3 linked regions of the Drosophila melanogaster genome follow. The protein of the gene in region 3 interacts with the protein of the main gene of each other region in a pairwise test. Each region holds a gene or a part of one and is shown on either strand. Other genes may lie near its edges. The genes, in order: CG14711, odd and Crtp.

The links.
Region 1: the proteins of Crtp (region 3) and CG14711 interact in a two-hybrid assay, tested with the Drosophila melanogaster proteins (one large-scale study listed by BioGRID).
Region 2: the proteins of Crtp (region 3) and odd interact in a two-hybrid assay, tested with the Drosophila melanogaster proteins (one large-scale study listed by BioGRID).

Annotation. Positions count from the first base shown.
Region 1 is NT_033777.3:11,618,073-11,628,082, reverse strand, and holds CG14711 (uncharacterized protein), read right to left. Parts: upstream 4,745-10,010; 5' UTR 4,673-4,744; coding exon 4,538-4,672; exon of another isoform or gene 4,483-4,537; coding exon 4,357-4,482; exon of another isoform or gene 4,298-4,356; coding exon 3,789-4,297; exon of another isoform or gene 3,781-3,788; intron 3,729-3,780; exon of another isoform or gene 3,727-3,728; coding exon 3,592-3,726; exon of another isoform or gene 3,534-3,591; coding exon 3,423-3,533; exon of another isoform or gene 3,366-3,422; coding exon 3,248-3,365; 3' UTR 3,135-3,247; downstream 1-3,134. Other genes in the region: CG18764 (uncharacterized protein), read right to left, coding at 31-917, 973-1,089; CG6813 (uncharacterized protein), read left to right, coding at 1,497-1,607, 1,668-2,080, 2,140-2,385, 2,458-2,572; Zaf1 (ZAD and architectural function 1), read left to right, coding at 5,046-5,168, 5,227-5,876, 5,934-6,068, 6,139-6,358; CG14710 (uncharacterized protein), read right to left, coding at 6,445-6,568, 6,630-6,875, 6,938-7,680, 7,739-7,873.
Region 2 is NT_033779.5:3,601,628-3,612,401, reverse strand, and holds odd (odd skipped), read left to right. Parts: upstream 1-5,645; 5' UTR 5,646-6,043; coding exon 6,044-6,116; intron 6,117-6,302; coding exon 6,303-7,408; 3' UTR 7,409-8,178; downstream 8,179-10,774. UniProt on the Drosophila melanogaster protein: Pair-rule protein that determines both the size and polarity of even-numbered as well as odd-numbered parasegments during embryogenesis.
Region 3 is NT_033778.4:24,489,989-24,500,858, reverse strand, and holds Crtp (Caldesmon-related protein), read right to left. Parts: upstream 6,342-10,870; 5' UTR 6,254-6,341; coding exon 5,461-6,253; intron 5,409-5,460; coding exon 3,964-5,408; 3' UTR 3,835-3,963; downstream 1-3,834. Other genes in the region: Ssl (suppressor of Stellate-like), read left to right, coding at 667-677, 735-1,256, 1,317-1,443; CG13590 (uncharacterized protein), read left to right, coding at 6,911-6,970, 7,030-7,347, 7,400-7,603; CG13589 (uncharacterized protein), read left to right, coding at 8,004-8,063, 8,120-8,437, 8,499-8,645.

The sequences.
Region 1 (10,010 bases), on a different chromosome or scaffold from region 3:
CCGTAGTGGATACAAGGATACGTCCCTTACCTTTCGTGGATGAGGCGAGTGTTGCTATTGTGAAAGGACTTGGTGCAAAAGCGGCAGTCGTATGGCTTCTCGCCCTGGTGAATGATTCGTTGGTGCAGCGTCATGAGATGGTCGGTGTAGAACCGCTTGCCACACTGCTGGCAGGCGAAGTTCTTATTGCCCGTGTGCCGCAGCATGTGAAGCTTGAAATTGCTTTGGTCGGTGAATTGCCGGCCGCACTGTTCGCAAACACACTCGCGTTTACGCTGCAGTCGCTTACGCTCTATGATCTGCTCCTCGGTCATATTTTTCCACGTAACGTACTGTTTTTTCCGCTTGGGTTTTGTGGTCGCTGGCTTCGTTGACCGACCTGCTGCACTCTTCGATTCGGGCAGCGGTGTGTTTGGGTTCGATGATACTTCATATTCGTTTATAGTTTCATTGAAATAGGAACCGTTTTGGGGCTCCATGTAATCGTTGTTATCCGAGTTGCTGTCGTCGTTGCAAATGCTCTCAAGTTCTTTCTGTACACTTGAGATCAGAGATTCGACATCTTGAGAATCCTCTTCGGCTACTTCAGCCATATCTTGAAGCGCATCAACATCTTCAACAGAATCAATATAATTATCCTCATCCAGATCATGATGAGCATCACTATCATGATCCAAAACTTCTTCTGGGGATTCCACAATGTATTCATCGACTTCCCCGAATGGATCGTTCAGACAATCCGGCGGTGATGCCATCTCCTCAACATCTTCAGCCGGTTCCTTCGCTTCGGGAGATCTACGACGATGGACGAGCTGCTTCTGCGTTAGGATGCACCGCTCCCGGAACAAAATCGCTTGGTTCAAGTCAAGCGTGCAGCAGGCGCATATGCTGCTGGGCAGCTCTGGATCGTTGTGGAGCTGCAATCACAGAAAATGCTGCACAAATCAAATGGAAACCATTTTTCTTACATACTGTTGTGCCAGTGACAAGATTTATGTCTTGCAGCATCTTCTCGTTCTCAATATGAAAGAGATTCTTGGGCATTTTATTGTAGATGATGCTGCCGCAGGTCCGGCACTGGAGCGCCATAATGTTAGTTGAAAATCAACCGAAGTTTAGCCCAACTTCAGTTTAATTCGAATATAAACAACCAATTGTTTTGTAAACGCATCCACTACACATATGTATGTATATATATTGTGATGCAACAGCTGGTTTTATTATCGACAAAATCGATAAGTGCGGCAATGCCATTGTGTGACTTAAATGATTTAAAAAGTGCAGTAAACCATTATGGTACTCTTATTAAATGAGATTATAAAACATATTTGTATTTATGTTACTTCATAAGGTACTAATCCCTGTGCAAAAACTCTAAACAGCGTTTATGCGTGCAAAAGTTAGAGTGACCATGCAAATAGCTTAACGACACATTTCGCATAAGCTGCTCGAAACGTAAACAGTAAACAATTATTCAAAAACAAATCAAAGTCGAGATGCGAATTCTGAATTGCCGCATTTGCTCTAGATCAGATGCCCCAATAGACCTTTTTGGTCCAGGAAACGGTCATCTAGTTCGTCAAATTCACTCCATTACTGGGGTGGAGGTAATATGTCTAAAAATATTCCTTAATCATGGCACTTAATTTGCTATTTATACTTTCCAGCTAAGCTGCAAGAAAGAAATATCCGGCCAAATGTGCACGACTTGCCTGGACAATCTGCAGGCAGCCATTAAGTTCCGCCAGCGCTGCATCATTGCCGAGAAACAGAATCTGGAAAGGATTGAGTGCGACAGCAAGGATTGCTCCACAGATCCAATAATATACGAAGACATCGATGATAACCAAATTGAGAGTGAGTTGGACGAGTCCATTCTATGTCCTGAAGTCAAAGATCTTCCAATGCCAAGTGCTGAAAAGGTCTCAGCACCGACTAGTTTGAACCATCAAAAGTCAATTGGAGGAGGTACTGGTCCATATGTATGCCCTGATTGCGGAAGGATCATTAACAATAAGTCAAACTTTCAAGAGCACACGCTCCGGCACACAGGCATCAAGAATTTCCACTGTGTTTTTTTGTAAATTATCCTTAACCTCCTTTGGGCTAGTGCACCTAAGATACGATTTTTCTCCTCAGGAATTGTGAAAGGAGCTTTGCAACTCGAAAGGAACTGACTAGCCATACGCGTATCCACACGGGCGAGCAGCCATACGTGTGCGTCTACTGTCCACGTCGGTTCTCCTCTTCAGGCGCTCGCCAGGAGCACCATCGCCGCCATCGGAACGAACGCCGCTACGAGTGCGACACGTGCAAAAAGAGTTTTGTAAGCTCCGGATGTCTCAGGAAGCACAAGATGATCCATGTGGATGCGCGGAATCACTAGTGGGCATTTCGATTTCTGCCAACTCTGCACATTATTTGTATTACACGTTTCAACACACTTTGATTTTACAGCTGCTACGTATGTCAGAAGCACTTCAAACGAATCTCCCATTTGATGACCCACCTGTCCAGCAATATTCATAAACGCAAAGAAGAGAAACTCACGGAGCTAGCCATTGAACAATGAAGCTGCCTATCTAGCCATTACACTAATTAGCTATCGGTAAGAATTCTAAAATTCCGCGTCCTTTTCTTTAACAAGGTAGACGTACATTTAAGTACAGGTATTCGCATAAATCCATTTTATGCGAATATCTAGCATATTTGGTTTTACTTTTTGTTTCCCTAAGGAATAGAAGAAGAGCCGCATCCCTCCCGACTTCCAAACGTTTTTAGATTTTGATGTAAAACGTTACAAGTTATAAACCTAAAAAAACAAAACATATTTACTTGTCCAAAAAAAGAAGATTTAATTAATCCTGTGCCATTCGATTATTATTCCATGTTGTAGCTTCCACAAACGGTAACAAAGTCTTCGACAGAGCACAAAGAAAAGAAACAATAAAAAACGCACACTCATTTAATGGCCAAAATGATGTTAAAACTACCAAATAAACGCACAAAATCAAAGATTGTAATCGTGTTCCAATTTTTTTCTCGAATATATGGACGTAATAAAAAACATTACAAAAAATATTTGTGTTTTTGAACAAGTTCTTTAACCAAATAGTAATAAATCAAATCCGATTATTTTACACATCCGGTCTGACCATTTGTACTCTTTTTTATTTTACAATTTTTATATATAATTAAATGTACATTAATGAATTATCTAACAGAAATTGTATTGCATTGTTTTCGACTAATAGCGCCCCGTCCGTTCGTTTTTGTGGTGTATTACAGTCTGTTGGTGGGTCATGGTGCCCAAATGCTGATCCAACTGGTGCTTGCGGGAAAAGGTCTTATTGCAGACTCGACAGCTGAAAAATTAAAGGGAATTTAGGGTTATACATGATTAAAGCAGTCAATGGACCTACAGAAAAGGCTTCTCGCCCGTGTGGGTGAGCATATGGTTTTTTAGCACGTTAGAGTAGGAGAATGCCTTGCCGCATGTGGAGCAAGTGAAAGGTCGCTCGTTTGTGTGTGTTCTGCAAAAGGAACAAGTATAGTTTATATGAAGATTACTATGAGGAATTGCATCTTCACCTTTCATGACGAATATTGGAGCTGCGATCCGCAAACGAGCGGTTGCAATATTTACACAAGAATGGTTTCTCGCCCGTGTGAACGCGGATATGGCGATTTAGCTCGGATGGACCCGCGAAGGATTTGCTGCATATTCTGTAAGCGGAATAAGATTTACATAATATAAAATGGTTCAGATGATAATTTCAGATACTCACTCGCATTTAAATGGTTTCTCGGCCATATGACGACGCATATGAATGTTGAGAGCGGCTCGCTTGGAGTAGATATTGCCGCAGATTTCGCACATAATGTTCGTGGAGGATACTTCGGGAGATGATTTGAAGCTAGCTTGAACAGGCGGACGCTCCTCGCTAAAACTGCGTGGGTGTCCGGAGCTAGCACCGCGAGGTCGGCCACGTCCACGTTTAGTCATCCGCGTTTTACGCACCTTAGCTTTGCGGCAGCGCTCGATGGGCTGGTAGTCGCTATCGGTGCTATTCGGCACCAGCAAGTCATCCTCGTCCAGGTCGTCCACTACAGTGCTAGTCTCGTAGGCCTGCGACGTTTCCCCGACACCATCCTCCAGGGGCTCCTCCATGATGTTCTCCATTCCGATGTCATCCTCGACACCGTCGATGAAGTCGTTGGCCGATTCGTAGATGTACTCAATGTTGTCAGCCACTACGTGCGGCACCTCGTCCGTTGGCTCCGACTTCATCTCGGCCTGACATGGTACCGGGTCAAGTGGGATGTTTATATGTGGCCCATCAACTCTATACGTACCTTGACTACATTGGTGGCAAATGTGCGCTCGCTCTCCTGGCAAAGCTCCCGGAACTTGTGGGCACTGGTCAGTCGCTCCACGCAGCTGTAGCACAACATACTGGGGATGTTCTGCAGCGGCACCAGCTGAAAGCACAGAGTGGGTTAAGTCGCAGGATTTTACATTTGCATCCACATGTACCTTTATGCTGCCCACTTCTTCAATCTTGCGCACCAGCTCCCGGCACTGGGCGTCGTTGTCATCGAACAGGGGCGCCATCGCCTCCGAGTTGATGTCCTCTGTCAAGCAGATTCGGCACAACATGTACTCGGGCATTATCTTGCACGTCCTGGACGTACGTATGCTTGCAATTCTGAAATAAACAAGCGTCTTGGAACTTTTCCCAGGGTTGTCATGTACGCAAAACGATAAATGGCTATCGAACTTGCTATCGGCATATCGATTGAATAATTGATAATAATTAAATCTTAATTTTTTTTTTTAAACTAACAGGTGGGCCCTATTAAATATTTAAGCTTGAGTCACGCAATAAAAATACAGTTTTAGAACTAAATGCAAAAAAATTTGGAATGATAGTTGAAAACTGTTACTAATTCCGCGTACCTGACAACCCTTTTACTTTTAATTCACTGCTCTGGCATTTGAATCGGCATTTGACGCGAAAGAGGGACTTCCTGCGGAAATAACGATGGAAATCAGCATTAAATGGAGCATGTGCCGCACTTGCCGCAAAAAAGGAACGCAATCCACGCTGCAGTCGCTCTTCGAGTCCAATGCCCACAAGCTGTTGATCTCGTATGCCGGCACATCTGTGAGTACTCGATTTCTGTTTGGCTTCCAGTTTACCAGTTACAAATCCTCTCTCCTAGGTGAAACCGGATGATGGACTGCCGGATCAAATTTGCACAGTCTGCTTGATGCAACTGGAGGAGGTGGACAGATTTCTTAGCGCGTGCAAACAATCCGACGCGCACCTGAGAAGCCTCGTTCGTCAAACTCTGTCCTCCGCATCGGCATTTGAGACGCTGGAGGATAAGGACCAGCTTGAACAGAAAAAACGCGCCAGGAAGCAGAACATTTCGGGGAGACTCATCGAAGAGAATCCTATTAACTTTAAGACTCAAGAGAATGCATTGGAAACGACCAAAGATGATGAAATCTTACCCATAAATAAATTTTCAAGCGATTTCGTGTTCGATCTCAACGTGAATGCGGAAAACGAGAAAGACATACACCAGGAGGACTATACCATCAGTGATATGGATTTGGACAGGGAGATCTCCGATCAAAATTACTCCGAAACGTATTCGCAAGAAAGCAGCGCTGCTACGGACAGTATTCAAGAGACAAGCGAGGATTACCATAATCTAGAGCCAAGTGCCGACTACGTGATAGATCTAGGAGTGGCCTGCGAGCCGGACAAGTACAGATGCAAGATCTGCAGCAATACATACCGCTGCTTATCTCAGCTAAATGCACACTCGCAGGTGCACCGCAAGGAAAAGGACCACCAGTGCGAGTAAGTATCCGTGATATATCTTAACATAATATTTCATATATAAAATGTATGATTCAGGGTTTGCCAAAAGACATTCAGAGCCGCCTGCAACCTGAAAACACACATGCGGACGCACACGGGCGAGAAACCTTACCAATGTTGCTACTGTTCGCGCCGTTTTGCCGACAACAGCACTCATCGCAAGCACGAACGGTAGAATGGACAAAAACTATATATATTGTGTACAGCATTTAAGTTCCAATGTTGAATTTCTTCATTTCAGTTTGCACACGAATGAAAGACCCTATGCTTGCAACATATGTGGAAAAACATTCTCTCTGTCCTCCTCTCGTAACGCTCACTACTACCTGCATTCGTCTGAAAAGTCTCACAAGTGTCTTATGTGTAAAAAAGAATTTCGGCTTAAGCACCAACTTACAGCGCACGAGAAGTCTCTTGCGCACCGTCTGATAGCTAAGGAGTACAGCGACGTGGTAGAATAGTTAATAAAAATAGCTGGTCTATTCTGGAAAAGTGGCTTTATACTACTTATAATAGATAACCCTAGTTCCTCAATTAATTTACTATATTAGCTCTCTAACATTTCCGGAGAGCTGGGAATGGTTTGCTCCATTTTGTTGCGGTGGGTTAGCGTTTGCAGGTGAGCTTTCAGCTGGTGCAGCAGAGTGAATGACTTGCAACAGATACCACAGCTGAAAAGTTCAAATTATTAATAAAAAGTGCAAATCACTAGAAAGGATTACTCTCCCTTACTTGTAATTCTTTTGGGCGGAGTGCGAAAGGATGTGATTTTTGAGGATGGCTGTGTGCGTAAAAGTTTTCCCGCACTCCTGGCAGGCATAAGGACGCGTGTTGGTGTGGACCCGTTCATGGCGGACCCGTTCGCTGCGATCGTAGAAGTGGCGGTCGCAGTACATACACTTGTATGGACGGTCGCCCGTATGACGACGGATGTGTGCTCGCAATTCGCCCATTTGTCGAAAAGATTTATTGCATATTCTGAAAGCAATAACATTTTTGTAGGATAAATTTGTTCCTTCCTAAACCTTAATATCACTTACTCGCATTGGTGGGGCTTGTACTCTGAATGGGTCATCATGTGGGCCGTGAAAACAGATTTCTTGTAAAAGACGTTTCCGCACAGGATGCACATGAACTTCTCCTCTTCCTTGCACTTTGGCTGGTTCCCCCTTTCCTTGGCGTTGATATCCTTGCGTTTGAATTTCAGTTCGGCGTCCGGTTTGCGAGGCCTTCCCGGCTTTTGTTTGTCCATTTTGAAGCTGGGATGTGGCGAAGGAGCGCTTGACATGAGAAGTTCCTCGTCCCCGTACTCAACCTCATAAAACGTGTTTGCATTGGATAATTCCTCGACAAGCTCACCCTTATCATCAATGAGTTCTTCCATTTGTTGATCATCAACGTAGGAGTCCATGTGGGAAATCAGAATCTGCTCAGGACTTTCCGTATTAGGCTCTTCGTCCTCCTCAATCGATTCGTTTATGATAAATCCGTTAAAATCGAGAACTTCCTGGGACTGATCCTCCTGCTGTTCATCCCCCTCCTCTATTGCGGTGATCTCTTCCTTCTCCTGATTCTCTGTGCCTAGTTTCAGATGTAGGTTCTCGTACAGATACAACATATACTCGGCATCGCTTGCCTGGGCAAGAGCCTCTGGTCTCTCCGAGGAACTTGTTTCCCAGTAGACCTGCGAGTTCAGGCACATCTGGCGAAAGTTGAACCACATTTGGACGAATTCGCAACAGCTGTTGCAGGCCTTCTCGGGCAGCTGCGGGGATTGGCGAACCTGGGGGAGTTGGAGTAATGAAATGATACATATAACCCATCTGGTCAGCTCCATTTACCCTAATCCTACAGCACAGCTCCAACTTTTTCCTGAGGTCACTTTCGCCTTTATCCCCAAACAGGCAGATCATTTGGCTCTCTTCGAAATCGCCCAAGCAGATCCTGCATTGCAGAATCACTGGCAAGCTGGCCATCCTGGCTAGCGTTTTTTTGCAAGGGGGCTGGAAATTAAGGCTAATTTCAATTAAATGAGTTTTAAACAATTTTAGACCTGCGCTGTGTGACCGCATTTGCCATGAAAAAAATACCTACAAGTGTTTTAAATACATTTCAGTTTAAAGTTACCATTAAGCCTAAACTAGCTATCAGCTACGAAAAAGCTAAAAAAAAAATACTGAAGCCCCTTCAAACTATTTATAGCGCCGCCACTGCATCTGTGGTATTATTTAGTGCCTTTCATTTTCGAGCCGACGGCGTGATTTAGCGGCTCGGCGGCAGCCACACTTAATTCGCCTTTCGAACTGAACGAACGTGCCGCGGCATCTGCAATTTTCTGTGCATTTCCACTTGCATTTTGTGTGTTTCACTTTGTTACGTGTGTGCCAGTTTTCCATTTAATCGTTACCGATCGTCCAATAAGCGGCTACAGCGGCAAAATGATCTCTAACTTTGATTGCACCGATAATCAGGCCAGCAGCAAGTAAGTACATCAAATCAAAACCAAGAGCAGTTGCCGGCATATTTGAAAAATAATCTACGCGTGTGCATGTGTGCGTGTGGGTGTACACGATGGTATTGGTTGGGATTTGCAGATTTGCAAAAACAACACCGAGTGCCGTTCTTTGCTTCTTCCTTTTTTTTTTAACGTTCCGTTGGTTTTATTATGTGCTTCCACCGCGGATTCTCTTCCTACTTCCGTTCCGAATTCCTTCTCCTTTTGCGCTTTCGCAGCTCTATTCGCCCAATGCGTGTATTGATCTTTTATTGGATTAACAGTTAGGTGAACTGTTCGTTTTGGATCGGCAAGGATTGTGATGACGATTCCTATTCGATTTCGGAACTCCATTTCCCGTCTGTTATGGACTCGTTAGAAAACGCCCTTAACAACCGATATTTGATATGTGTGCTCCGTAGGCAACCCCCGCTGTCAATATAGGACCTCACTTCTCACAGCTGCAACCGGGAAAATGACCATTTTGAGTAGTTAGTACATGCACGGGCATTTCTGACTGTGTGCGTGTGTGTGAGTACTGCACAGTGGTGGTTCTAGTTAAGTGCACACTGCAATGTCAGCAAGTGTGCCAGTTTGCCTCCCCCGCCCACATTATTATATGTACATACGTACATATATCACATACTATATCTAGCACATCAGCCGATGGACATCTCGAACCCTGACCCCGCACCGCTCCCCTCTTCTAATGCCTTTATGACTGCAACCGAGGTGGCGCTTGTTTTTGTGTTTTCCATTCTCTGTGCCAGTTTTCAAATTGGTCATCACTCCACCATTGTGCCGGCCATCAAACTAGCTGAAGTAGGCGAAAAACTGTGGCAAACTGTACAGGGCCCACTCAAAAGTGTAAATCAATAAAATATGGGCCTTACGATACTCTATATATCGTTAATTTTATTGAATGCCTTCCAATTTCTAAACTAATTACTCAGAAATTGAAGTTTTTAGTTTAATTGTCGTTCTCTATTTATCTTCCTGGTATATATACAGAAATTAAAGCCATTATAAGCAATCTTATAGTGTTAAATTACTACGATTAGTTCTCTATAATCAGAACATATCCTAATAATTGTGTAAATTGTGCATTGAGATCATATACCTCTATCCGTAGGAGGGAATTCTTTCATTTCCAGTAACATAAAAATGCCATGGAAATTTATAGATAATTTCCCAGCTATAAAGCAACAATCTAATTTTAAACGGTAAATTTAAAAATCAACTCCTTGGCTATTTGTGAAAACTAGTTCCTACGCACTTGACCTTTGCCACATCTGCGGATTCCATGAGTAAATTAGCCAAGTATGCGAGCCCTGCTCCAAATGACCTCCTTGAGTCACTAGGAAATCTGTTGGCAGCTGTTTTGGTTCGCACTTATCATTATATTACGAATAATTGGCGCGATAGATGATGAGTAATTGCAATTGGAGTCGATGGCGGCGTTCTCGTTTCTTCGTCACTCCCTGCCACAGTGGTGGCCAGTGATTAAGGGCACACTCCTGCCCACCGGACACCGAAATTGTTGTTTTCCCGGTAAAAAAGCCGTGTCCACAATATAACACAATATGGGGGATACTTTCTGCCCCAATATCGTCACGTGC
Region 2 (10,774 bases), on a different chromosome or scaffold from region 3:
TCAAATTTCTGCCTTTCCCTCGCTACTTTTCCAAAATTTTCCCCACACCATTCGATTGTGGAAGCCCAACCTTCCGCTCACTCAATCAAATCCATCAATGGGTTAATTCGGGGCGCGCATTTTGATTGGCGGTCGGCGGTTTACTTTGGGGGCTGCCGACAGAGAGGCCATGGAAATGGGTGCCCGCCCAACCAGCGAACCACTGAACCACCGGATAAGTTAACCACCATATCCATCGATCCATCCGCCATATTGCTAAATCACAAACGCAAATAAAGCATAAAAGGAAAATAAATGGAAAAGGAGGGAAACAGCCGGCGAAATATGAAAGTCGACCGATGTTTATGACAAGCGCGGCGGCTAAAATCAAAGTCTCTGCCTGGTCATCCGTCTCTTTCTGCCGCCTCGCCCCATCTCCCTCGCTCCCGTGGTCCGTGGGCCATCGTAAAGGTGTTGTCGCCCCTCGCGCCGTTTTTTTTATTATTAGATTTCTACCAACTCATTCTGTTTTTGCGACATTTTCGTGGCCCTTATCAAAATACGGGGTTGGCTCCGACTCCGTTTATTACCATACGACAAACAGCGACGCAATCGCGGTGGAGCTGTTATGGGGATGGGAATGGGATGATATGATGGCATGATGGTGACTGCCGCCCGATCGATAAGCCAGCCGGGGAACGAGGTGTTTTTTTTAGGTAGCTGACAGCCCACAAAGCGCCGATATCGAAATCGATGGGGGAGGAGTTTCGCAAGGTGAGTCATGGATTCGGATGGAAATCAAATTTGCTGAAACAATCCAAATAACCAGAAAATGGTAAGATATGATATTTTTATTAGCTAGTCTTGTAGAATTTCGAGTGTATATTCAATAGATAATTTATCTTGTAGATATACGAATCCTTAAATTAAATTACATCGAACTTCGGCTTACACTTGTGTGGTAATCATAGCCCGAATTTGTTTACCAGTCCGTGAAAGGATTTATCTAATTATTTTGACAAATACAGGAAAGGATTGGCCGTGCGGGGAGTTGCTCACCAAAAACCGAACTCAGCCCTAAGCTCGTTGGATTCGCTACAGGAAATCGCAGGAATCGCGGGTTTGTTGTGGGGGAGTTGCCTTGCGCAGCACTAATATGACCAGAGAAGTCAACTGCCCTCCGGATCAATCTAATTATTTTGCCAAATAAAGTGCAACCCTTTTGCGGATCAACCCTTCCTGGATTCGCTACACTCAAAATGCGAGACGTAAACAGACAAGGACGCGAACATGGAATGTGCAAATGCTCGAAGGATACTCGGTCCAAGTTCACAAATCCCTTAGCTACTCCTTTTGTCCGCGATAGCGATAGGGTCTTCCAGGTACGATGGTCGTGCGTGAGCGAGGGAATATCTGGTGAAACATAGGTACCTCGTTTCGGGAAGGAGTAAAAGTGCGACGCGCCCACCGCAATGCGAAAGACAATGGCCCCGAAGCCAAAGTCCAGTTCAGGGTAACGTTTAGGGTTAGGTTTTCTAGGATACCGGTTTTACGATGCCAGCGACAATACCGATGGCATCCTGGCTACCTGGTTGCCCCGGCCCGAAACTCACCCGCCCACACCCCTTTAATTACGCTAGTAAAGGGTACACCCCTTTTTCCGACGAGCCAGCGTTTTGGTTTTGGTCGCGGCAACTTAGGGCCATGGTGTCCTTGGGTTTACGATTCGCGGAGTCGCGGGCGTGACGCGTTTATGGTGTGTTTAGATACTTTTCGCAAGCAATTCAAATCGCAACAATGCCGCGTGCACCCGTCTTCTTCCTTTTCGTCGACAGCCTTGACTCCTGCACATCCCTTCGTCAACGGCTGGGTAAGAGATCCCAATAGATTTACCTAATTATCAGGCGAATCCCAAGGACTTGAACAATTTTAGCGACTTTTTGGCGTTTTGCCAGCGAAATCGAGGTTGCGAAATGGTTGTTGTTGCCCAGTTCGTTGGAAGCGTTTCCAATAACTGAAATTGTTTTTTCCTTTACCTCATAGCAGTGGCTATAGTTGGTCTGTTTTCGCCATGAAATTGCAAATTGCCTTTGAACGAAGCCTTGAACCGAGGCTTTTGGCCCTTTTCCATCTTGATGCCTGAGAAAATTTTGCTGCATTATACGAGTGCCCGCCCCTCCCCCATTTGGGGAAATTATATAAAATTGTTTCTAGAGAGCGTAAATGGCGTACTGAAATCTGTAAGGCATAAAATCTATAGCTCTGTTACTTACAACTTGCACGGATACCTTCATCATATACATTTGATTCCTAACTGTGATTTTTTAGTAGAAGTCTGGTTATAAAACACATTTCCTCACTACTATTACTTCCTCGAATGCACCAAAAACTACGATGACTTCTTTCAGTAGCCAAAAGACGTTCGATTCGAAGGAAAAACTTCGAGATTTCCCTACAAGTGAAGGTCACCAAGTCGAGATTCCCAAAAAAAAGAGCCCTACTTTATTTTCCACGGCTAATATAAAAAGTGATTTTGGTGGAATAGCGAAACCCCTGGCATATGGCCCACTAAAAAGTCATTTTACAATTATTACCGATGACTTCGCGCACTGCGTAGCTGACATTTCTGCTCTAAAAAATCTAATTTTATTCGTGGAAACACGAAAAAATACCATAAAATATGCATGGCAATGGTCCAAAAAAAGAGCAGACCAAAAAAAAAAACAGAAAGAACATTGCTAAAAACCGGGTCACAGTCCGGAGATCCGAGAGTCAAGAACCAAGGGTCTTCTGCGAAGTGTCTTTGGGCGATTTTATGATGCCAAAGAAGCGACTAAGTAAGTTGTCATTTTCGGTTTATGATGATTTTGTGATTTTTTGCTCTCGTTGTTATATTTTTTACGCTCTACATATTTGTACTTCGATTTTCGATTTTTTTTTCGCAGGCCAGGACCTCCGCAAAACAATGGCAGACTACTAATGTCGAGCAGGCCGAGAGTTTTATAGTTTTTTATGGCTTTATGGCCGAGCCAATGACTTCTTTATTGGTGCAGGTCCTTGGCGCGGAGGAAGCGTTTCAGGTCTTTCCAAATTATTTTTTATGGCCATCGTTCCTGCTTTCCGCATCCCTACGATTTGGTTTCCGTTTCCGAGTGTCGGAGGATCTCTCTACTATAAATCTCGCGTTTTCCACATGCAAATAGTGGGACATGTGTTTCCCCCGGGAGAGGGCTAATCCTTTTGGCCATGTGTTGACAGGCGCAACAACAATAGTAACAATATTAGTAACGACAACAAATGGATATAGCAGGAAGTCAGCCAGTGCGATGCCATATATCATGTGCTGGGAAATATTCGGCCTGTGTCTTTCATGTGTCTCCACTCCGCTGGTGTTTATCTATTTATTTATTTATTTGCCTTTGTACACTTATGACATGATGTTAATTACCGCTCGCGACTCCACAGGCCGAAAGGCAGGGAACCGAAAGGGTGGGCGGAGTCCGGGCCGTCACTTTGAAATGGAAAAGTTCGCCGACTGTTTGCCAACCGTCAACAGCGGCGACAATTGCCAAACGCCGAGGCTAAAGCTAACCGACACTGGCAAACCGACGGTACATCCGATCCGATGTTGGAACGGATCGAAAATCAAAAATCGACAATCCGAGAGTTCCAGACACACGCACTCTGGGAAAAAACGTCCTGCAGCAGGACCTTTGCCTATTGATTCAGGCTGTTTGATCATTGGCTCGCCGCCGCTTGGGAAAGTTTGTACTAAATGTTGTGTACATATTGCTTAATTTAATCACCCAAAGTCAATCCTGCCAAGGACCGCTTGTGACGGAGTGTGTCGCAATGGGCTTAGTCTCAGGATCCTCGGATCCTAAGTCCGTATACGGGTAAAACCAGTCAATGGGAATGTTTCTTGTTTTGCCAAGTTAAAGGATTAGTCGCAGATCCATTGCGGAAATGCTTCACCTGGAAAGTCGACAAGTCAAAGTCATGGGAATGTACGGAATTCGGAAGCAGGATAATAGGATATGCATTATCCATGTTTTGTCGGACTTGGGAAATATCTTATAGTTGGCGGAAAATCCAACCGAAGAATAGGATTTAATTCGGAAGCATAAATATGGCATGTGCAATTTAAAACTATTCATTAATGAGGAAAATTCGTATTTTCTTGAATGCTATGAAATATTTGTCTTTTTAAATGAGATATGAAAAATATTAATTATATAGAAGCCCGAATAATAATAATAAAAATTGTAAAGATATTTAACTACAATATCCTATAAATAACAACTACATTAATTTGATGCTTCAATAAATTTTGATTGGAAACATTCAACCCGCAGAACTTATATCTTTTAACCTTTTCCTATGACTTTACCTATTTCTAGTTTCCAAGCAATTTCCTTCAAAATATGTTAAGAAAACTGCCCATAAAGTGCACCTGCTTGTCTCGATTCAATTACAAATTATTAAATAATTATCCAAGTGAGTAGCATGAAGCATTTCGAATGAGGAACTCATTAAAGATGATTTGACAAGCTCGAGTCGCACTTCAGTTGAAAACGGTGAAAGTTCAACTATTACTTAACAACTACTTAAACAACTGAATTACAATAAATACAATACTGAGTAAAATAATTAAAAAAACTCGAAAATAAATGGTGTGTGAAAGGCATACCCAAAACTAACCAGTAATTGTGTACAATCCTTTTAATAAAGTCTTTCAATTACATTACCATTACCTCAAACTCGTCGTTAATTTGCTGTAAAATATGTCCGGCTTATCCTGCCGGAAACCCTTTTAAAAGCCAATCAATTTTCGCTACAAACGGCCGTTTCCACCCACTCGAAACTTTTATCGCCATCGCTTTGAAGCGGCTAATTGAATTCCAGATTAAAGTGTAAAGCAAAATGGGGGGGAATAAAAAAAACTGATTTGTATTGCAAATTAAAATTTAAGTGAAAACGAATCAGGCGCAAACACAAACAGGGACAATAGATTACAATATCCTGCGGCGCAGACAGCACGACATTAAAAAGGCACGAGGAGCAGCGAGAGCTGGCGCGGAATGGGTATGGACATGGCAATGGAGGTGGAAGGGACGCGCCAGGACGACACAGGACCTTCGTGCAGCTGCTGCTCCTGCTGATGGCACATGCGCCTGGGAGGGCTGCGTTTCGGGATTGGGACTGGGATGCGGGCTGGACTCCAGCGATGGCTGCCTGCCATCAGCGGCAGAAGCAGCAGCAGCAGCAGCAGCTACAGCAGCAGCAGCAGCAGCAGCAGCAACGGCAACGGCAGCAGCAGCAACTACGGCAGCAACATCGGCAGCAGCAGCAACACCAACAATATCCCAGGCTTGCGACCGTCAGGCCAACGGTTTCCGCTTGCTTACTGCTGGAACGGAAAAAGCCAAGGCACATATATCCATGCACATCCACAGGCACATTCGGTCGGAGCCACATCCATGGGATAGTAGATACCGAACGCTGAGGGCCAATCCGAGAGCAGCAGGTAGGCGTGGACGTATCTACCATTTCCAAACAACTTCAACCCCGCCACAGGCAGCTGCCGTTGGTCGGGCCGCTCGCCACCCTCGTCGCCCTCCTCCGCACTTCTCGGCCGGTTCAAAAACGGGTCGCCCTGCCAGCAGTTGCAGTCAGTTATTAACGAGCGCTACTCCCAACAGCAACATCGCTCAGCGGCAGCAGCAGCAGCAGCAAAAGCAAAAGCAAAAGCAACACTAACAACAGCAACACGAGTCACTCAAACGTGGAAGCGAGACAGGAATATCAGCACTCCACTCGCCTCGTTTCACTTCGATTCTCAAGCGTTTGAGTCGGAGAGCGGCGAACGGCCAACGAATTCAGTTTGTGTCGAGACGTTGTCGGTGGCACGTCGCATCCAAAAGAACGCTCAGTCAGCTGGGAAATATACTGAGAAAAGATACATTCGTAGATACAAGTGCTAAGCCAAAGTGAACCGTGCAGTTCGCGCAACTAAACAATTTTAAGCCAAATAAAACTACACAAGGCCAACAAAGACAGTATAATGTCTTCCACATCGGCCTCACCCATCAGCAACATAACCGTGGATGACGAGCTCAACTTAAGCAGAGAACAAGGTGGGTTCAAGTTCAAAACTGGCTCAGAACAACTTGGCAAATGCCGACGGCAAAGCGCATTACTCTCTAGCACTTTTTGACTAGTTTCAAAAAATGTTCCATTAATATTTGAAAGTAGTCTCACATAGCATTGCATTTATATGAATTGAAAACTAACCGTGGGCATTTCTATTCCTTCCTTTTTAGACTTTGCTGAAGAGGATTTCATAGTGATCAAGGAGGAGCGCGAGACAAGTCTCTCCCCCATGCTGACGCCCCCGCACACGCCCACCGAGGAGCCGCTGAGGAGAGTGCATCCGGCGATAAGCGAGGAGGCGGTGGCCACCCAGCTGCACATGCGACACATGGCCCACTACCAGCAGCAGCAACAACAGCAGCAACAGCAGCAGCAGCACCGCCTGTGGCTGCAGATGCAGCAGCAGCAGCAACAACATCAGGCTCCACAGCAGTATCCAGTTTATCCCACAGCCAGCGCCGATCCCGTGGCCGTGCACCAGCAGTTGATGAACCACTGGATCCGCAACGCAGCCATCTACCAGCAGCAACAGCAGCAGCAGCAACATCCGCACCATCATCACCACCACGGCCATCCGCACCACCCTCACCCACATCCGCATCATGTGCGTCCCTATCCCGCTGGCCTCCATAGTCTGCATGCCGCGGTCATGGGTCGCCACTTCGGAGCCATGCCCACCCTGAAACTGGGTGGTGCCGGTGGAGCGAGTGGTGTACCCAGCGGCGCAACTGGCAGCAGTCGGCCAAAGAAGCAGTTCATCTGCAAGTACTGCAACCGGCAGTTCACCAAGTCGTACAATCTGCTCATCCATGAGAGAACCCACACGGACGAGAGGCCTTACTCCTGCGACATCTGCGGCAAAGCCTTCCGGCGACAGGATCATCTGCGGGACCACCGGTACATCCACTCCAAGGACAAGCCCTTCAAGTGCAGCGATTGCGGCAAGGGTTTCTGCCAGTCGCGCACCCTGGCCGTGCACAAGGTCACCCATCTGGAGGAGGGTCCGCACAAGTGTCCCATCTGCCAGCGGAGCTTCAACCAGCGGGCCAACCTCAAGAGTCACCTCCAGAGCCACAGCGAGCAGAGCACCAAGGAGGTGGTGGTGACCACCTCACCAGCCACTTCACATTCGGTGCCAAACCAGGCATTGAGTTCGCCTCAACCTGAGAATTTGGCACAGCATCTGCCTGTCCTGGATCTATCCTCGTCATCCTCGAGCTCAGAGAAGCCCAAGCGGATGCTGGGCTTCACCATCGATGAGATCATGAGCAGATAGATTGAAGGACCAGCGAAACCCGGTATCCGGTTTCTTTTGAGACATTCTAAAAGAGATTCAGAGAGCTGGACGTCCGCCAGGCATGGGAAATGCCTGGAATGGAAAACCAAGCGAGTCCAGCCCGCATTCTGGCCAAAGGTGCAAGTGGAAAATCCTCGCCAGCAACTCGTAATCGCAACCCAGTGAGCAGAAGAGTCATCCTCCGTGCAATCGGTTCTATGTAGCAGATCCCAATTGCGTTAAACAAATGCCAAAGTCAAATAGCAGAGGAAAACTGATGAAAAATCCAATGAAAAGTATTGCTAGCACAAGCCTCCTACAAATCGATTCCAAAACACACACACACACACACAACTGTAAACTATAAACTTTAATAAATAGCACATAATTTATATTGTAATCTAACTATTATTGTATGTACCTTATAGTCGTAGTAGCCCATTCAGTTCGTAGTGCTTATGGAGTAAACCAAATGTTATGTTACAATAGCTCAATCAAACAAACCTCAAACCCGCTTTGGTTATTGAAAGACTGTTTTAATTATTATATTTAAATAGTACTTGAATAAATCAATCGATCGATTGTGTAATGTTAAACCCCGACGAGTGTCATGATTACTTACTGTTTAGACTTAACAACTTAATTGTCGCTATAGCAATTGTGACTATGCACAACGATCTCATTGTCGTCTATATGTATGTCTGAAACATTCGTATTGATATGAAGTTATCACAAAAATACGTAAATATAAACGCAAAGTAATTTTCAACTGAAATTTAATAAGACTTTTTATGAATACGGTGGATTTTGTGTTTCCAGGTATTTGGCAATGGCAATTTCGCCTTGATTTATCATTACTTCTACTGGCAACTTGATAATCTTTATGGTGTACTAAGTTAAAGTTATCTGAAAAGATTTAAGCAGCAATTTTTTGATTACCTTCTACCACCTACTGACTGATTCAAGTTCCAAGCGGACTGAATGATTTTGATCTACTTTTAATCACTTTGAAATCTTTCTTATCCGCTGACTAAATCCCACGCCATTCCGATTTGGGAATTTTCTCATGCTGCGAATATAACTCAGTAGACTGAACTCGTAGGACCATATAAGTTGAACCATCAAACAGCAGCTGTCAAAATTTATTAACCATCCGAATATAACTCAGTTTTTATGCAGATCTCGATTTGCGCATTTTTAAGCAGCTCTATTATTTTTCAGGTTGCCGATTAAGTAAGCAGAAGTCTCGCCACCAAAAATATTCAAACTGTCGCAGAAGTTAATTTATGAAATCGAATCGAATTGAATTTGATGTCAGTTTTGCTATGATTTTGTCATGAATCGGTTTCGATTTCGGTAACACTATGGTTATTGTTTAACTTTGAGGTGTGGTCCAAATATTTATGGCCTGTGTTTCAGTTTTGGGTTTAGTTCAGTTTTCATTGTGGCTTCTCTTGAAAATCGGGAACGTGCCAAATGCCTTGCAAAAGGTATGTTTGATTTCCTTTAATGGTGGTTTTCTTTTCTAGTTTCTTCCATTGGCAATTGCATTTCTCTTAGCACGCTTCTTACTCAGAACTGTCAATTTCAGATTGTGATCTTTGTCTCAAAATCGAGCATAGGATTGTCTTTAATTGAGGCCTGAGGTCGTTCTGGTTACCCCCGGGGGGAACCCGCATGAGGGGTCTGCATCTGCCTCATTTGCTGCTCGATTTCCATTTCCATTAGCATTTCCATTTTCCATTTTCTCCACCTTGATGACATACTCTCGGGCCTTATGGCCATGTACAATTGATTTGGGCCCTCTCATTGTGTTGGCTTTGATTTGCTTTGTTTTCGTGCCAGAAAAGTGCCAACGTATTCGCCAATTGATGTCTACATAGATGCCTTTTTTTTTGCCCAGGATTACTTTTGACAAGTATCCTGGCCGCGCCCCCTTGGCCATGCATATCCTGCTGACTTTGGCCAAACCTTAACCTTAGTCTTATCTGGCCGAGTTGGTCGGGTGGTCAACCGTAGGACTTGTGTTCCGTGTTTTGCAACACTTCGCCGCAGGCAGTCTAAGGACCTCGAGGATCTTGGTGTCCTGGCATTTCGACACACCTTGTCCATAATTGCACTGCGTACAACCAAAATATTTTGTGAAAGTCACAGCGGGAGGGCGAGTTATCCCGACCAGATTGATATGTGTCCGCATGGGGTTGTGAGTCCCTTTTTTTTTGGGCCATTTTGAGCCACAATTAAACGCATCGGTTCCGCAACTAGGGTGGCATGCAGCTCCGTGTCCTGTGGATGTCCTGCCATTGTAAATTGTAGTGGCAGGACGTGCTGGAAAGTCGCCTGCCAAAAGTGAGCCATTTACTGCCACAGGGGCAGTCTCCTCCTATTTTCTGCTCCTACCGAGCATGCAATTTTAATGAGCTGCCCGGGGGAAAAGGAAGGATCGGCATAGGGGCACATCCCATTGTCCAGGACACGTTCGCACTTGGCCCTGTTCGCCTTTGGGCCGGGACCACCCTGAAAAGCCAGAATGATGATGTTGTAAGCCGGTTGGTCGACAGGTCGGCTGGACGACTGGTCAACTGGCCAACTGGTCAACTGCTGAGGTGTTCAATTAAAACGTTGCAAATCAATTTGCCATCGAATCGAATCGAGGACACGCTTAAAATGGCCGTTGACAGAAACACTCATAGATGATGATGACAGCATTACCGCAGTAACATAACTCGAAACCCATCTAAAACTATACAAGAGTTGTCAAGTGAGCCAAGCCCAAAAATATATATACAAACAAAACTTGTCTCTCGTAATTGTACATTGTCTAGATTGTCAGCTTTAAAAGTGGTTTTGATATGCCGACATCGCAACGCCTTTTGGCTCACAGCCACAGACATCGCATTGCCACTTCACCATTTCCATGCACTGCGATTTGAATGCTTTTAGGAGGATCTTAACGAAAGTTAAAATAGTATTTTATTACTACGATTGTGTACTTTTAACTATTAAGAATTTGATACTAGCTTTACGAAAGTGGAACCGTTAAGAAATGGATATCTAACATTTAACAACAAATGACAAATATGTTGGTTACCATCAATATAAATCACAGCTAATGTGAAAGTGATTTGCATAATTCGGAAAATGCTATGTGATATATGTTCATATCAAGGGCAACATTAATCACTTCCCTTTCTCATAGTTTAGATTTAATGGAAAAATTTATATTGGGAATAAAAAGTCGCACAGTTACTCATGCTGGTTCTTATCAAAGTATATCATGAGCACTTGCTTGGAAAGTACTTATACGCAACCACTTCATAGGACACAACTATTAGACATCATACTGCAATCAGCCCTCTTGAAAGC
Region 3 (10,870 bases):
TGTTTGTCAATCGAGATGGTTTCTCTTGATTGGGTTAATAAATTCCTAGATGCCAAGGAATGCTCCTTGATCCTGATGTAAAGAACATTGTTTTCTGAAGGCATCTTTACATTAAAGCAGGTCTTTTCCCATTGCAGAAGTACTGTCGATTTTTTCGCCGTGAGTTCCATTTGCGATTTCCTGCTCCACCTACACTGGGCTCCCCAGGCTGTCATATTGGCCGTTCAAAGTTGAGTCCCACTCATTTCCTGAAATCAAGTGCTTCAACCGAAAGTGGGTTTCATGGGTTAAGGTGTATGCTGTTATAAGGGTATGACCTGCCTGAAGGGTTCATCAGGGCAGCATCAATGATGTCAATAGTGGAGCACCGCACCCTTCGTTTCCCCTTGAGCAACTGGAGCATCAGGACTACGTTCTGGTCATTACAGACGTGTTTTGCGGCCTAGGCTTCCAAGAAAGCCAGGCTTCTGGCTAGCCTTGCCGATTTGACGAGTTTGAGGTCTTTGTGAAGGGCATCGAGTCCTCGGGCGATAAAGGGTTTGGAACACTGCTGCCCTGTCGCAGCCCTGACATTTGAATTGTTGTCACTGAGCTGTCTGTCATTATGAAATAGTAGGTCTCGTCATTTTGCACTGTACTTTTTCATTATATTTTATTCGAGTGAGCATGTCGTGTCCGTAAGTAACTAGGTTTTTCCTATAAAAATCATAGCAAATTACACCAAAATCTTTTAGCAGGAGCATCGAGATACCAGATGGCAGTTGGATCGATTGGTTCCTGGGAATCAAGGGCCACGAATTCTCCTGCCGGGTGCCCAATGAATACATCCAGGACAAGTTCAATCTGACGGGCCTGGAGTTCGATAGCCAGACACTGGAGGTAGTCTTAGATCCGGAGTTCGACAACGAGGACTGGGACTGCGCCGAAGAGAAGAAGCTGTATGGCATGATCCATGCACGGTACATCGTTTCGCCGCGTGGCATTGAAGATATGCGATTAAAGTACGAAAGGGGGGACTTCGGATCGTGTCCGAGAGTCTTTTGTAAGAGGCAGAAAGTCCTGCCAGTGGGCCTTCACGACGTGTGGGACAAGGCCCAAGTTAAGATCTATTGCCCTAGCTGTAACAACGTCTACATCCCGCTACCCCACAATGGAATGCTGGACGGAGCCATGTTCGGGACCAGCTTCCCGCATATGTTCTTTATGCAGCTGCCAAGCTTGATACCCTCTCCGCCCGTGGAGAAGTACATCCCCCGGTGAGTAATTCTTCGAATATAATCCTTGTTCTTTTCTACACAAAGCACTTGCACTTCCAGTATCTATGGCTTCCAGTTGCACAAGAAGGCCCTGATGCCGCCCGAATCAGCAGAGTCCCCGCCAATAAAGGTCGAATCCTCGGTCAGCAAGTCGCCCTCCTGGCTAAGGAATGTCCCGAATTTTTAACTCCACACGAACAAAGCACACAAATGTTGGTTTGGTCTGTTGTTGCAATTAAACAGTTTCCCCAATGCGTTGATATGGCCAGCGACCACTAACACATGGGTGCACTCTCTCTGCCCTAAACACTTCACACCATTCGGTCCACGCTGGCCATATCAAGCAGTCATTCGAAAAGCAAAGCGTACTTGCCGTTAATAGTGGTAATCACCTGGGAGTTCGGAAGTGAAGCAGCTTTAAGCGGCCTATTCATCCGCTTAGTGTTGTCAGACACTGCGAGAAAATGGTTGGAAAGTTCTGTTGCACGGTCTAAATATAATTAGGATCCTCTACTACTCGAGAATTGGCATCAAGTGCACAAGGATTAAGGATCTACACTCCAAACGTTGAGTTAGATTATATTTCATCCCTGTGTGCGTGCTCCTTAAGTTCGCTGGACTTCGCAATAAAAATCCACTTGGCGGCACAACCTGCTAAGCCGATAATGGGAATTACGTTGAGCCGAGGCGTGGGCAGGGATTCGTGAATTTGCAGGAGGAGCCGCGTCCTGTTACTGTTCCTGTTCCCGATCCTTTGCCGCTGGCATCTCCAATAAGTCATGCCTTTATTATTATTTACTGCCGCCCTGGCGCTTTCATTTTCAGTTTTCCACGCCACTCGACGCCTTTTTCCTTCGAGTGGAGAAGAGCGCCTTTTCCGCTTTTCTCCATGGCGCCACCACCCTGTTTCTCGCACTTTTCACACTTAATTTCATTAAGTAATCATTCATACTGCAGCTTTTATTGAGTTTTAAACTGGCGGACCGTATAATGAGAATGTCTGGTGGGTGGAAAACGCGGGAAAATGAAAAAGCGCAGGATGCGAGCGTTTTGTTTTACATTACAATCGAGATGGCAATGTGGCTGGACTCGGATTCCTTTTCTCTGGCGGGACCTTGTGGATTCTTTGCCACCTGTTGTCCGCATCCGCCATTACTTATTCATAGTAATTTCTAGAGACCCCATCGAAATACAGAAAGACAGCTCGCCGTCTCATTTTCCACGTATTTATCCAATTTCAGACGGAACACGTCGGTCCGCGTGGGCAAACAAATCCGATTGCTGTTCTTGTAAACAAAGTGTCTGCACCCGATTGGAAACTCTGTTCCTGGTGCAGCTGTGTTTCCATTCTTCCGCCAGTGTGTTTTCAAGAATGGTCGGGTATTTGATTGTATCGCCGCAGGCTCCACCACATCTATCCACCAGTGGAGCCCAGTGGGAATACCCAGCCACCAAGCTCCCTGCCCGCTTTCAGAAAGATGTTTTCCGAGTGCCGCAAAAGCCCCCACTGAAATATTATTGTGTACAGGCTTTTCAAAATATTTTGACTCCCTTCGCTGGGCACACAATAAATACAATTCGAACGAGGTCTTTAGAATTTCAATTTTACGAATGATTCCTGGGCTGTGGAATGCACAAGAAAAAGTACGACTTTAATCCGATGCAGATAGAAAATAAATAGGAGCAATCGAAAACTGCATTTCTGTTTTGCTCTGCTGTAGATATACATATAGTTTAAGAACTCAGGTCATTAACTTTCCCCCCTCGACTCTTTATTCCCTAGACTATATCCATTGTTGCATGCAACCAAATTGGGACTTCAAATGTTTCATTATCTCTTTGGCTGACAATCGGTCCATACTTCGCATAGTTGACGTAATTTTAAGACTCTCCTCTATTAACCCCGTTCGGGCTAAGCGGTTCAGCAATTTATGGTTAATGGCACTAAATTGGTTAACTTTGGAAGGCGGCAACTTTTGCAAACTTGCCAAAGGAGAGTAAGACGGCGGTTCCGTTAATTTGGAGCCGAGCGGTTGACCAAGCCCCGAAAGACAGCTGCAAAGTCCTAGGAGCCGGCTGATTAACCCATTGGGACGGATGGCCTGCTCCAGAAAGGACACGGCCGTAATTATCCCGGCGAGATTGGCCGGCCGGAACACTCAGTCCACTTCACTCCGCCGGAGGACGCTGGGTTCATCAGCCTGGTTAGCAGCTCAAATTAAGTTACGGGCGGAACGCCGGACATGTCTGCCCGGTAATAAGCTAAATGAAAACAAAAATGGATGTCACTCAGTGCCGCAAGTTGATGAAGATGAAGCAGGAGGTCTTTGAGGTCCTGGGGTGGAGGTCGTAACCCAATAACTTTGGCCACGCATTAATGGGAATTTATGAAGCCGGCCACTCTACGCCGGAGATTCTGCGCTAAACAAAGCGCGTAAGTGTCGCTGGAAAGGGTTACTCACCAATCCTCCGACTTCGCCGAGAAAATGGCAGAGGAAATGGAAAACTGGCAAAGGGGAAGAGAAGTCCTTTTGCGCCAAGTTTAAGTGCTTTTAAAAAACCATTAACGTCATTTCCTCAGCTGTCTGGCTCCATTCGATGATGGCCGAGCATCCTTTTTTCTATATTTATCTTTGCCAACGGAAAACATTAATACAATAAGACCGAGAAACGTAAATTTTGTTAAAGTGGATGCGATGATTCCTGGTTACTTGGCTTTTTTCTTTGAATCTGGCTGTAGGGATCCGGATCCCCAGGTTCCAGTGGGATTGGGCACGGGTGCTGGCCTATCGTTACCAGTTGGAGGAGTTGCCACCGCGGAACCAGCTCTTTTGGAGTTCCTCTTCATCTTACTTCTCACTGGAGGCTGGGATTTGGGAAGGGGCACATCTTTGGCCTCGGCAAGTTTTGGTTCCGGTGCAGTGGGCTTGGATGTGCTGATGGGTGGACTAGTAAGCGGAGGAGGACCTTTCAGGCTGGAACCTGATTCCCTGGAATTGGGAGCCAAGTCTGGTTTGTTGAGGGTAGTCAAAGCCTTGCCCACAACACTTCGGAAATTGGGCTGTACACTTTTGGTCAAGTCCGGCATGGGCGGCAGCTTCATGGAAAGCTGGCTGATTTTCCTCTGGTTATCCAGCGGGTCATTGTGGATCACCTGCATGGGACCGGGACAAGCGGCGACCGTAGGAGTATCCGTATAGCAAACATGACGGCCATAGTCAAAGGACTCTTTGCTGTCCGTGTCGGGCATTCCCCTTCGGTGAAAGCAATTGATGGGACAGGAGGCGACACAGGGAATGTATGGCTTCTCCACCTCGGCCAGCTTCTTGATCTTCACCGAGTTGCAGTAAATCTGGTGGCGATCGGCCACCTGCTCCTCGCGGCACTTCTCCCGCTGCTCGTACTTGCGGTACGCCAGTTCCGCCTTGGAAAAGAATCCTGGCCAGCAGTAGTCCCTTAGACTGCTTCTCTTCACCATCCTGCCCTCTGGTCGCATGTCCAGCTGGTTCTGCCGCTCGTAGCGATCTACGGCGGTGGCAATGGGATAGAGAGGTCGCCCCACCTTTCTCGACTCCTCCATGATCTCGACCGCCTGCTCAAAGAACTTCTTGTCATCCTCCAGGTATGGATCCTCATTGCAGGCGGCCAGGTTCATTAGCTCGGCGCGCCGCTTCTCGAGGAACTCTTCCCGCTGGCCAAAGAGAACGTTGCGCAGCTCCTCCTTTACCTTGTCCCTCTTTCGCTTCTGAGAGGCATCGAAGAAGCGATTCGCCTCGGCGTTCTTAAGGCGGCGCGCCACATGGAAGCGCTGCAGCTCCTGCTGGCGGCGGAGCTTCTCGGCGTCCTGCTTCCGCTCCAATTTCTGATACGCACGGCGCTCCTTGGCCAGCATCTCCCTTTCGCACTGACGCCGGCTGTCGTCCACCTGCGTCTCAAAGGCATGGCGGTCCTCCGCGTCAATCTGGCGCTCTTCCAGCTTCTTTTGAAGCACTTGCTGCGCCTGGGAGACACGGAGTGCCTGTAGCTCCCTCTCCTCCTGACGCTTCTGCCGCAGCTGCTTCACGTGGCTTCCATAGCGACTGTCCAGATTGCGACTAGCCACGATGTAAACACAGTTGCGCCGGTCGTCAATGGCGTCGCAAATCCGCTCGTCTGGGGATGAGGAATAATATGAATATATCCAGTTCTGCTAAATAGTACTTACGTTCTGCAATCTCCGCCTTCTCTTGGAGGGCCTCCTTGTAGGCCTTTCGATTGAAGGCGATTTTCCGGGCCTTCTTCTCTTTGAGCGCCTTCTCCTCCTTGTCCTGCAGACACTTGTACTGAGCCCGATCCACCTGCTCCTCGAAGACCCGTTGCTCCCGCTCGGCCTCCCTGATCCTTGCCCGCTGCGCGATGTCCGCCCGCATGAGCTCGGCATGTTCCATATTCTTCGCGGTCTGCCTGGCCACCTCCTCCTCCTCGGTGGCGTGGCCGAAGGGCACCAGGGCCGCAGGACACATCTCCTCATCGGCCCTTTCCTGGGCACGGGCTGCCTCCGCTATCTCCTCGTTAAGGGCCTCATTGTACTTCCTCTGATGAATCATTTCGCTGTAAATGAGCGCCTGGTGCAGAGCGCGGGGTCCGGGCTTCAGTTGATCCAGTAGACGATTGGCTCGCAAGATCCTTTGCTTGCGCAGCCGCTCGTCCGCCAACTTTGTGTCCACATCCTTTACCACTGCCATGGCTTCCTTGCTCTGCGCCCTAGCTGATTTCTTGACCTTCGGAGCATTGGGATCTGTGAACAGGCTGCAAAGAAGCTCGTTGCCGTCCTTCAGGTACTGCCGATACCTGCGTTCCTCCTCGACGGCCTCCATTTGGGCATGCTTCTCATCCTGGCGAGAACGTCCCTTTATGGCTGCAAACCGCTTGGCCGAGATCACCACCGGATGCCGCGTAAAGCGCTTCCGGACAAAAAGTCCATCGGGACCCACTTCCTTGGGCTTGCACACATTCATTTTGGCTATGGCAACATGAATATAGGATCAGTTCGTAATGTTGTTGATTCGGCAAGGGTGTTGTATGTATGATCTCCTCAGAAAACAGGAAAGCTTCGCTTATAAACAAAATATATGTCAACACCTGGACTACTGTGCTTCCATATCGATTTACCTAGGTACTTTTGTTATTTTCTGCATGGGTTACGCGCAAAGAATAAATAATGGCCAAGTTCAAATTAGAATAGATGGATGATTCAAGTGAAAATTGAAGGTCACTTTATCCAGTTTGTCGGAATATTTTTCGATATTTTAGGGCTTGCAGGTGGTAAGCGACGTTCATAACATTGAAGTTCATGTTCCACTTCCGGCTATTCGATTTAAGGCCGCAGTTTGCTACGAATTTGTATTTCACCTATTTAGAGGAATATTAACTTACTTCGAGTGTCAAGTGGTTTCGAGTTTTCGATCAGTACCAGCCTCTAAAAGTGTATTGGCTGGTTGCATTTGGTGTTATTGAAACATTTATTAACCGTTTTAAATCGATATTTAATGATAATGTAATAAACGCATTCTCCACTTAACCATCAATTCAATTTGATCAAAAATAGAACACATATTCAAGCTAAAGAGCCAGGTTACGTCAGTTATCCACGGGTGGTCGACCGACCAAGAGCCATGGATCACAAGGTTTTCATTTTCGCCGTTTCGCTATTAGTGGCCTATCTAAGCTGCGGAGTAAGAAATCGGATTGTAGGACCTAATTACATTTCAATTAAAGCTACACATTCCATCAGGAGGCGCCCTATCTCAAAATGACAAATGCAGTGTGCAAATCGTATAACAAATCGTGGGTGGTTGTTCACTACTGCCGCCTGAAGGCCTATTCTCGAGCCAAGACCAGCTTGAATATAAATGTCACGTTCGTGGAGCCGGCCAGAAATATATCAGTTCACTTTAAGACGATGAAAAAGGCCAATGGGTATAAGCCTTTTTTGTTCGACTACACCTTCGACGCCTGCGAGTTCATGCGAAGGCGCAACCAGCCAGTGGCCAAGATCATCTGGTACATGATCCGGAACGTGTCCACCATCAACCACACCTGTCCCTATGAGGTGAGGTCTCCTCAAACTGCTATTTAGGGACATAACCCATTCCATCTTTCAGGGCTTGCAGATGCTGAGCGACTTTCACAAAGTCGACATTCCTGTGCCACTGCCATCTGGGGACTATCTACTAATGGTCGACTGGTTGTTCGATGGCAAAACGCAGTTCGCCACGAATGTATATTTCACATTTATAGAGGACTTACTGCCGACGAGCTCGAAGCACAGAAGGGGCAGTAAGGAGTTCCCCGTCTTACGGAACTGATATTCGGTTGCTATTCACAAAAATACGAAAATTGTAACGACACTAGAATTTGAATAACTAACAAAAATTGCATCGAGACCCTTTTACTCAGATACTAACTGACTTCACAACTCAGTTCCCGAGAACATTGGTTTTTGAAAGGGAAGTAGATCCTGTAAAATGGAAAGTATAGATTTATTTTCTAGGACTCAGAAGTTCACACGCGTCCAACAGAAGTATATATGCAACTGGTATAATGATCTTCGATGTACATACATAACCATTACGTAATTTTCCAGTCGAATGGCTCCATGATACATCGTTTTTACCACATCTGCTAATAGGGTTTCAACTAAAATTTGTATTTAATGAAGCTTATTTACCAGTACACCGTCAGTTTTCAACGGAGTGGTAAACAGCCATGAATCGTAGGCGGGCCGCTTTTGTTGTTTCGGTAATACTTGGCTTTCTGGTCTGCGGTGTAAGAGATCCAATAACATATTATATATTTTATAAATACTTGAAAGCTTCCCCCAGGAGGCACCCCTTGCTAAAATGACGAATGCTGTGTGCAAGTCGTACAACAAATCGTGGGTGGTTGTTCACTACTGTCGCCTGAAGGCCTATTCCCGAACCAAGACCAGCCTGAACATAAATGCCACATTCATAGAACCAGCGAAAAACATATACCTTCACATGAAGATGATGAAGAAGGCCAATGGGTATAAGCCCTTTTTGTTCGACTACACCTTCGACGCCTGTGAGTTTATGCGAAGGCGCAACCAGCCGTTCGCTAAAATCGTTTGGAACATGATCAAGAACGTATCCACGGTCAACCACACCTGTCCCTATGAGGTGAGATCGTAGTTTGACGTATTTTAGCCCAATTTCGTCGGGTTGCATTTGGATATTTCAGGGCTTGCAGATGCTAAGCGACTTCCATCACATTGATGTTCCCGTTCCACTTCCGTCTGGAGACTACTTACTTCTACTTGATTGGATCTTCGACTTCAAGCCACAGTTCGCTACGAATGTATATTTCACCTTTGTGGAGGGAATGTGAAAAGTTCCAATCTGAAAGCGATTTGTAATCAAACTTTTCTCTGATATCTGCGAATGTTTAGATGGCCCGAAAGTGACTTCACCCCTTGGTAAATATCATCAGAAATTTTATTAATTATGTATCGCCCTGTTACTATATGGTTAAGTAAGGATCGAGATTATAATGCTCTTTGTTCCAGTACCACCTCCTACAGGAGACTTCTTACTCCATCAATCCCATGGAAAAATCAACTGTTCTGTGGGAAAATATTGTAATAATAACAATTTTCAGTTCGACGCAATGGTAGTTATTACAGGGATTTGGTAGCCAGTAACATGATTTCTTGCCAAATAAGACTAGATCTAGTTAATCCCTTTGTTTCTCGATTAGTTTTCCATCAGTTTTCCCTAGCTGGTTCATCAGCCCAGCTGGGAAAAGCTACGCGAATGGCATTCAGGAGGTCTTGTTTGGGTTCCGGTTCATCGCACAGAATAATACAAATCGCAAATCTTTATGCAAGAATTAGCACACCGATATTGATTTCGAAATAACGCCAAAATATTGTTAATTGGTCAATTTAGCTCGCGTACTTTGTATCGCACTAAACATTTTGTATCCCGCTAAACATTTACAGAGAGAAAGCTTCTATTTGCGCTATTTTCATATAACTCCCGCAATTAATTGGCGCCATAAATCGTATTTGAAGACCGGACCTGTTCCACAGCAGCACATGATATGCTGGCCATCCGCAATTAGATGAACCCCAATTAGTGTTAATCAAATTAGGCAAAAACCCGGGTAAAGCAAATGGCGCTCCATCCAATTCCGGCCGGCGTCAAATTATACAGGGAAACTCAGATGGCACACAAATGGAATCAAGAGGGAAAAGGAAAGTTGACTTTCATGCGAAAAGTTTTCCGGAGCTGGGCGTGAATTCCTGCACCCAAAATGTTCATGGTTTTCGGGGATTGGATTTCGCGAGGGGGCGCTGAGGGCGTGGTCAGATGCCAAACACCGGCGATTATTGTTCCAAAATGCAGCGGAGCGTGTAATTTTTTGGGCACGGAAGAAACGCAAAGAATCCGCATCCACATCCAGATTTAGTTTGAGATTCAAATTGTCCAAAGAAACCATTGGACGAGACGGGCAAGGGAAGGCGAACGCGGCCTCTGAAAATTGTTTTGCGAAAATTAGTTTTCAAACTTTCTCGTCCGTTTATCTTGCATTTCTGACGGCCTCGTCCTTTTTTGTACCTTCGTCCTGCGGGCCAAATGGAAATCTAAGCGCAGTGTGCGATATTAATTTGCATTTCGGCCTTGTTGTCATCTGGTTTGTGGTGCCGGGAATTGGGGCGCGGGGGCTTCGTGGCACAATAAAAATCAAATTTAAATAATTTTTAATTTATTTACAGCGTTTCGGTCGAAAGTTGTCGATGTTTTTGTGTAATTGGGATTCTGCGGCTGTTTCGTTCTGGGATCCATTTGTTGGCTTCTTTTTCGACGCTTTCGGCATAATTGCCTCGAAATTACCTTTTGAGTGAGACAGAGCCAAGGAAAAACGAGACTTTATGCAAATCGCTTTAGGGATATTTATTTATTTCGATTTGAATCCTCTGCCTATGAAATACATTTGTTACACACCGCTCGTTTATTTAACTAAAGTTAGACTTACTTAAACGGTAAATTTATTTGGCTTTAACTAGTCAATTACTTAGCTACAAATAAAAATTAATTTAACAGCAATGTCCACATCAACCGACTTAAATTCTTGACAATCACAAAGTTAGGATTTGATTTTGATTCGTCGAACAGTGAGTAATTTGGTGTATACGACTCGAGCTATGGAACTACAACTATGATTAACCACAACGCTTTAAGGTCCGCCGATATCAGAGTCTACGTAGATCCTTAGTCCCTAAGTGGTGGAGAATTTGGCGAAGGGCTTCCGAATGTCGAGCGGGTTCTGATAGGAAAGTCTGATATCTCTGTTTCCATATATCCTACGTTTAATTTAGCCGACGCACGCACAACAACTAGGATTATATTATATGTTACTGGTAGGTATGTATGTTGGGCTGGGAAACTTAGGGTATCACAAACATTGAATGAACACTTACTATGGTTAACTTCTGCTTAACTCGGCTAATTCCGATTCCCCAGATCCATGTATAGTAAAGAAAGTCTAGCTAATGGTATTGAAAGTTCTCAGATGGACAGCAATCATTCAGGTTATAACCAACACAGATT